2 linked regions of the Neodiprion lecontei genome follow. The protein of the gene in region 2 binds, or shares a complex with, the protein of the main gene of each other region. Links are inferred from orthologs where the notes say so. Each region holds a gene or a part of one and is shown on either strand. Other genes may lie near its edges.

Region 1 (3,757 bases), on a different chromosome or scaffold from region 2:
TTTTTGTATCTTTAAAATAATCATGTTTATTATGCGGCATCAGTCAATGTAATAACACTCTGACAGAATATTTGTGTCTTGTATATTAAATGCGTAGTCATCTTTAAACTTTTATCTTTCCGAAGAATAGCTGGCTTAAAAGTTTGATATACAAATATTTTAATAATCTAAAAATGAGTTTCGTATCATGTATATTATTTTACAAAATTATAACGAACACAATCATGAAACTCAATGTTGAGTTCCAAATTCATCGCAACAGCTAAAACCTAAGGAAGAAGTTGAAAGGTGGTAGAATAAACGGATTTAAAAATGCAGAGATAAATAAAACAGTAGACATATATGCAAAATATGCATCTTCAAATTAAAGAAATCAGCTTTTTCTTCTGTATATGTAAATCCTTAGTATAAATAAAAACGAATTTCCTTGTTCCTTTCCACAAGACATGCTTTTGATATTTACTTGGAATTTTTTTTATCAATGTCGACTAGATTATGGACAGAAATGTAAGAAACAAGAGGCATCACTTCACTGATTGAATAAGATTGGTGTAAGACTTTTTTATAAATCGTACCTACAATTCAATAGTTTGACCAAGTTCAAATGTGTGGAAATTGAAAATTGATTGGGTACAAAACTACAGCATGTTGAAATCCCATGTGAAAACACAGTATAATTTGTACAGGTCATAGAGAACTGCAGGAAATTGACATATTAATGTGGCTGTACTAACAATGCCATGGTAACAACCAAAAAAATTTGTCCATGATAGTTGAATCATTGTCGAAGTTTGAAGTATTGTATGGAATTCTTTCGGGAACTTAGAACTTGGCTTTATTAGGCAATGAGACGCATTTTGCATGAAAATTGAGATTCCCAAAGTGTATTTAAAATTTTTTTAAATCTACAACATAGTTGTCATAAATGTTTAACGGTTATTTGACAAATAGACTGATAATAGACTGAAAAAAAAAAACACGTGGATATTATTCCTCAATCTCTCATTTATCCAAAATCATGTTTTTTATACTTGAAGTGTGGCAAATTTGAACTTGAACACTGAACTTGAAATATACTGAATAAGCAGTTTTATTTTAGACATAAGAGCAGTTAATTCATTGGAGGCGTTGTTACCAAACAATTTTTATTATACAGATGTATTGTTAACTTGGATAGATTCATGAAATTTTATAAAGTATACCATATATTTTTACACTTAGAACAGTAAAAATCGTAGTAATTTCCAGGTTTCTTGAGTATTAATTGTAAAATTATGTCATCACACAATGGTAGAATAGAAGAAAATTAAAATGCTCCGAGAAAAGTGCTACGAACGGAGATCTTCTGAGTTTGAAAAATCAATTTTTTAGAGTTTAGATGCTGACCCCATTTCGCTGACTTTGTCATTAAAGTTTATGAAGTAAGGAATATGTCATGTTAGCATAATCAATCTTGTTCTAGATATTTTTGAAGTATAACGAGGAAAATTGGTTCCGGCTTGTGATTAACACAGAAAACTTTCTAAGCAACAATGTTTCAATAACAAACATTCTGCTCTTAGATCAACCATCTGAAATCAACTTAAGGACTAAAAAAAACAAAACAAACATAACACAATTTTTATGAATATTACCATGCTACAATAATTTGATGCTGATTGTAAAATTTTAAGACTGACTTCCTATGAAGTGACACTGAAACTTTTGCAGTGCGCCACTTGATTATTAAACTAACTGGGTCAAGGGAATACAAATCACAAAGAATACATTTTAACCGATACTGTGTTTTAAAAGAAAGAAACGAGTAACTATGCAATAATAGCAGTGTTATCAATTTCTTGTAGAAGGAAAATTGAAGACTGACAAGTCTTTGAAAGATACTTTTCATATGAATGAATTCTCTGCTACTTGGCACAGAATCCTACCCTGTGGATAAGGTACACATTAAGAAATAAAAAGAAATTCTTAACACGACAAGCGGTGATGTTTTTAGAATCACTGAATGTTGTGAGAATTTTGTTTAACTGAAAACATGGTATCAAACATTGAATTACAACTGTATTTATCGACAGCTCGTTTCCAAGAATTAAATGATAAGCCTTGGCGCATCATGTTCTCGAGAATTATTATACCGGCCTATATTAGAATCAGTGCGATACGATTGATCAATTTTAAATAATTGGACGGATTTTTTAATTGGAAAATAGGAATATTCGAGGCTTAGAGTAGCAGGAGAAAGGAATGATTGATATATTTTCTATTTCCTGTAACAGGTCAAGCGGATTTGGAGCAAGAAGGAACATGAATAGGCGAGTGATATCGGGAAATTAGCGAAGCAAAAGGCGGCCAATTTCATAAGAAAAAATGCATCGTGTACCTCCAGCGTGCGTATTTCTTGTTGTGTTAACTCCGCGCTGGTAGAGCACTGAGTCCGTAAGCCTTCAAGCCGATCGGCCCAGATGTCAATCATGGATTGATCGACATCTAGGGCTCGCCGAATGTCCTGTTCAGCCTCCTCGCTGTCCGCCATGAGAAACGGTGACAGCTTCTTGTCTCGGTCACTAAACAACTTGTTATTTCACCAACATAGTATCCCCGACGCGAGGCCCCTATCGAATTCAATATCACAGGTATCGTAAGTAACCAAACCACTTATCAACATTGACAGCCATCTTGGCAGCCTATCAATGACGTCAGAGACGCCCGGCAGTCGTACGTATGGAACCCTCCCCGCCCTGAACCCCTTGTCGACGATCAAAGTCCAGTACGTGCGTTCGCAAACTCATCACTTCCTACCTTCATACGTTGTAGTAGGCCTTTTTTATCGAGCGAGTCAATCAGGGGCACTATAGAGATCAGTGATCGAAGTCTATGGGGTGCACCAGCCTCCTAACACTCACCACTGCTCGTATACTGAAAACTTGTACGCGTTTTGTCCCCGTTTTTTAGTTCCTCTACGTGGCGCTAGTAGACTTCTGACACGCTCGCTGCCCTCGCTGAGCGCGCGCAAGCTTGTCAGACAACTACTAGCGCCACTAGTGGTGGGAATTGGCGGCAGAATCGAGGGACATTTTGCGAACCACTTTTAGCAGCGTGTGTCAGGAGGCTGGGGTGGACACTACCATTCCACGGACAAATTACTCGTCGGGCTTGGACCAAACTGTAGCCAACATAATAGTGATTAGGACTAAAGATATTATAGAACATTTTATACTATCACTACCGCCACACCAATCGACTATCAAACGATTGGATAATCGAAATTGAAAAAAACTCAAGTTGCTCGGTCAACTTTACGTACGAATTGGTAATTCAGTGTTTGTGGCGACCATAGACTCGGCGACCAAAAATGTAGCCAAATAAAATTTTATATTATATACTTTTGTCCCATAGTTGTGGTATCGCTTTGGTTCAAACCTTTTGAATACCGTATGGAGGAGAGTATAAGTAGTCCACCCCCTGCGAGTCTACTGGCTGTTATTTTTCGTCACTAATGATGAACTGATGTATAGAACTTCTTCAAGACACTTTCTAATATTCTGAAAAGGCCACAAGACAAATATTAAGGAAACGCAATGCTCTGCCATGAACAAATTTCATTTCTTAGTTTACTAATGATACCAAAAAATAAGGATCAACTAATTCGGTCGATACAAAAGCGCTATCACATGCCCTTAAAGTCTCAAAAATCCAGGTTCTCTCAGGTTTTTCCTCATAAAACCCGAGTAAAATTGGATCTGATTCATTACACATTTGT
Region 2 (3,757 bases):
ACAACTGTATTGCGTTTTAATCTTGATATATATATACAGGGTGTCCTATTGCTGAAAATATGCTCAAATATATCAAAAACTAAGCATTAAATTGAACAATGTGTCGGACAAAAATTGTTGTATATGAAGGGGGACATCAGATGAGCATCCCAGTTTTTGGATCTGGGGCCTTTGCTGGGCCCATTGGGGCCCAACTTTCGTTTTTCAAATGGAACCTGCTATTTTTTATTTTACTTTCGTATTTCTCATTAAAAAGTAAGTTTTACTCCTAGTAATTTTTTAGTTATCGTCTTCAAATAAGCGTAAAACTTTATTAGAAGTTTTCTCGTGAGAAAAGTGGTAATACATCAATCACTGTCAAGAATTTAAAAATGAGAACAAATTCTACAATGAATAGAATTGTTCAATGTTGAAAAGTGGTTAGGCGCTTGTTTATGTTTGTTTTTAAGCATTGCCAAGCATTTAAGAACTGTGGGAATTAGCGTCACTTGATGTATACCCTAGGGAGGTTGTTTGGTCAGATTTTTAAAAACTTTTTTTTCACTTTTGACCGAAACATCTTTCAATTTAATGATTAAATTTCGATATATTGGTGCGTATTTAAAAAAATGAGACACCCTGTATTAGCGTAGACATGAAAATTAGTCATCACTACGTACACTATTAAAAGATTGATTTTATATGAGATAATTTAATCGGACAAAAGAATTCTGTATAAATCCTTGTAATTGCATTTAAATAGTATTTCATACTGCTGAAATAGGTTCCATAATTGAATTGTAAGTAGAATACAGAACTCCATGGTCGTATTAAATTCAGATTGTACACAAGAAGTATTATCTGCAGAGGAAATGACAATCTTACCGACATTCATGCTTTATCTCAAACGGATGTGGTTGCTAAGCATTCATTGATGTTTATTGATAATATTGAAAAGTCTCATAAGAATCTTTTACTCAATTAACAATAACTTTATCTCGATCAAATTAAATCTTATTATTACTGTTTTATATAAATATTGCACAACTTTTAAATATATATTGCATAGTATCATACGATGTATATGAGAAATTGAATAAGTTAATTATGAAGCTGATTTCATTGTCAAAAGAAAGATATCAGAAAAAATGCTATAGAAAAACGATTACTTTTCATTACTTACCAAATCATCACCTGGCCTTTTCTTTAACGTTGCTAAATCCAGACTCGCTGGCTGTAATATCATCGGATCGGCCATGTCTTGTATAATGTAATCAGCCAATTTAGCTAGTTGTCCACAAGTAGTTCTTATCTCTTCAATCGGTCTTTCAGCGAATCTGTCACGTTGAGCGCAGGTCGCCATTTCTATGGAAAGCTTCAACAACTCGGCCTTTTTATCATTGTATTCTAGTTGGCCGCTAAACGGAGATCGATCAAGCCAACAGACCAAAGGCTTCAGAGATGTTACAACCGATGCTACGTCGGATAAAGTTTGAGTGGTGACGGGTTTAGAATCGGTTTGTCGAGATAATTCATTATGCAGACTGTGGGCCTGACAAGACAGTCGTAATGCCAGAAGCTGCAAATTTTCATGGTCAAGTTCATAGTGAAAGTTTCTCAAATACTCAACAGCTTCGAGAATTATTTCTTGATGGCCAAGCTTCAGTACCCCAAGGTGTTCTAAGTCTTCCGGTCTGAGATTCAGTAGTTGTTGACCATTCACAACATGGTTCATAAAACTGTGAACGTACGGTAACACCGAATTGTCTAAGCCTGTCGAGAGAATTGCAAGAACGTATTAGCAAATGATGAATGTTAAAAATTATTGTCAAAAAAATATAAAGGACTTTGGCAAAAGTGAATCTGATTTATGGGTAAAAATGTATGAGAACTTTACAGAAAGATATTTTATACAATCACCCTGAACGATGCACCCTGACTAAGAATGCATAATAATTATCAGATCTGGAATGAATGCATCATTGAAGTTTCAAGTAACAAAGGAGAGAATTATTTTTAGAACAACAAAAACAAACGAAAGACGTTCATTCAGTCACGCACATATCGAATTTATCAATGGATTACGCAATTAGTCATACTGAATGAACGAAATTAGCCTTCACAAACGAAGTTTGTATTTGTATAACATACATGTATGGACGTAATAAACTACGAGGGCCGGGGGGCGTATACAGGAAATGGAGTTTTCGCGTCGTATAATACGAAAAACCGTCACTGAATTAATACGTACGATTCTAAGCACTTACAATGTGGCATAACAAATATTACGAAGTAATAATCAAGCCTTCCACGTACCTTTCAACCACTCACACACCTGATCTGTCTTCCATTCTGCGACATTGACGTACGCCATGGTTGGCTATTCATCTCTGACTAAAGATCGTCCAACACGAAACTCTCCCTCATGCTCTCCCTCCTCGCTGTGATCCCAATTCGCCTGGAGTTAAGGAGCCCGAACGCTGTACTATGGATGTGGACCCTGAAAGCGACGCAAAAGATATATAGGCTGTGGTGGCGCTGCTGTCGTCAGTATAGGATATAAGTATTATTATTACAGCAATGACCGGGCGTCGATAACGAATACTCCACACCTCATAGCATCACCAATGCCATACTTCATATCCTATACTCAAGGTCATTAGCCTATACTGACAAAACAAGCGCGCTCGTGGCTGAATTTCGAACTACAACCAACATATATCTTTTTCGACGATTTCAGCGTCCAAATTTATCATGATTCTCGTGTGCCGTTCGACCTCCTTAACTCTAGGCTCCATGTCCATGAGTGTGAAATGTATATCAGTGGTGTAAACACGGTCTTATAGACAGGTCTGGGAACTCCGGCTGTAAAACCGTGCTCGAAAATGAAGCCGATGTTGTGAAATTTCGCCGCTAGCGCTAGTGAGGGAGAGGCCTACTTAGGCCGTGTTCGTAAATTGACTGACAGTACTGAAAATTCCCTAGGACAGAGTCAGAGCTATTCACGAACTTGAAAGCGCAAAAGAGATGAAAGATTGCTGACAGTACTGTCAGTCAATTTTCGAACACGGCCTAAGTAGGCCTCTCCCTCCCTCCTTTAGTACGCATACACCGGTTTCGGAGATTGCAGCGCTCCGGTCTTTGGTGCACAAATTGAGAAACACAGGCTACAAGACGGTCACGCTGCGTTATATGTATAGGAAGAGGCTTGGAGTGCCCAGACCAGTGGCCCAGACTTGTCTATAAGACCGTGGTGTGAAGACTGGTAACCTCTCTCCATCAACGTTGCAGGCAACGCACAGAGAGAAGCCTGAGAGAGCCCACGCTAGCGTTTTTCGTGTTCCCGATTTCGTAGCGCACTCTGACACGAAATAGATTTCTGGAACTAATTTTCGAGGTGCATTGTCGGTAAGCGCATGTTGTTAACAGACCAACACTGCCGTCTTTAGCATCACGGAGGCAAGTTGATGTTCGTAATTTGTTCAATTTTTACTGCTGCTGCTGATCGCCGTAAAAGTGTTTTGTATCATTCACTGCTTTCGTAATGCCAAATACGGCAGAGTATTAAACGTTACCAACATGCCTTTACCATGCACCTCGAAAATTAGTTCCAGAAGCCTGGCTTGTCAGAGAGCGCTACGAGATTCGCAACACTCTCAAGCTTTTCTCGGTAATGCAGCACGTTAGTTTTTCCAACTCCCGTCGTGAACGCTTCACTTAGTAGAACTCCACAGCTGGCGTATGCATAAATTTCTCGTTTCCTTACATACGTGATTGA

What was found. Proteins that work in one complex are often made in the same cells at the same time.
Region 1: the proteins of uncharacterized protein LOC107223905 (region 2) and kinase suppressor of Ras 2 are in contact, whole or in part, in a cryo-EM structure (PDB 8BW9), measured with the Drosophila melanogaster proteins. The link is inferred for Neodiprion lecontei from reciprocal best matches to the Drosophila melanogaster genes cnk and ksr. Residues at the interface, in NP_001286524.1 of Drosophila melanogaster: Lys79, Asn80, Asn82, Gln84, Leu88, Glu183, Asn187, Ile190, Gln191, Ile193, Ser194, Asp195, Pro196, Val198, Leu199, Gln200, Pro201, His288, Thr289, Met291; in NP_001287177.1 of Drosophila melanogaster: Arg900, Gly901, Met902, Lys903, Gln904, Ser905, Leu906, Ala907, Gln910, Ser911, Gly912, Arg913, Lys916, Asp917, Met920, Tyr925, Lys945.

Annotation. Positions count from the first base shown.
Region 1 is NC_060266.1:5,384,847-5,388,603, forward strand, and holds the start of kinase suppressor of Ras 2, read right to left. Parts: upstream 2,697-3,757; 5' UTR 2,531-2,696; coding exon 2,378-2,530; intron 1-2,377.
Region 2 is NC_060260.1:24,525,182-24,528,938, forward strand, and holds the start of uncharacterized protein LOC107223905, read right to left. Parts: upstream 2,460-3,757; 5' UTR 2,354-2,459; coding exon 2,296-2,353; intron 1,753-2,295; coding exon 1,163-1,752; intron 1-1,162.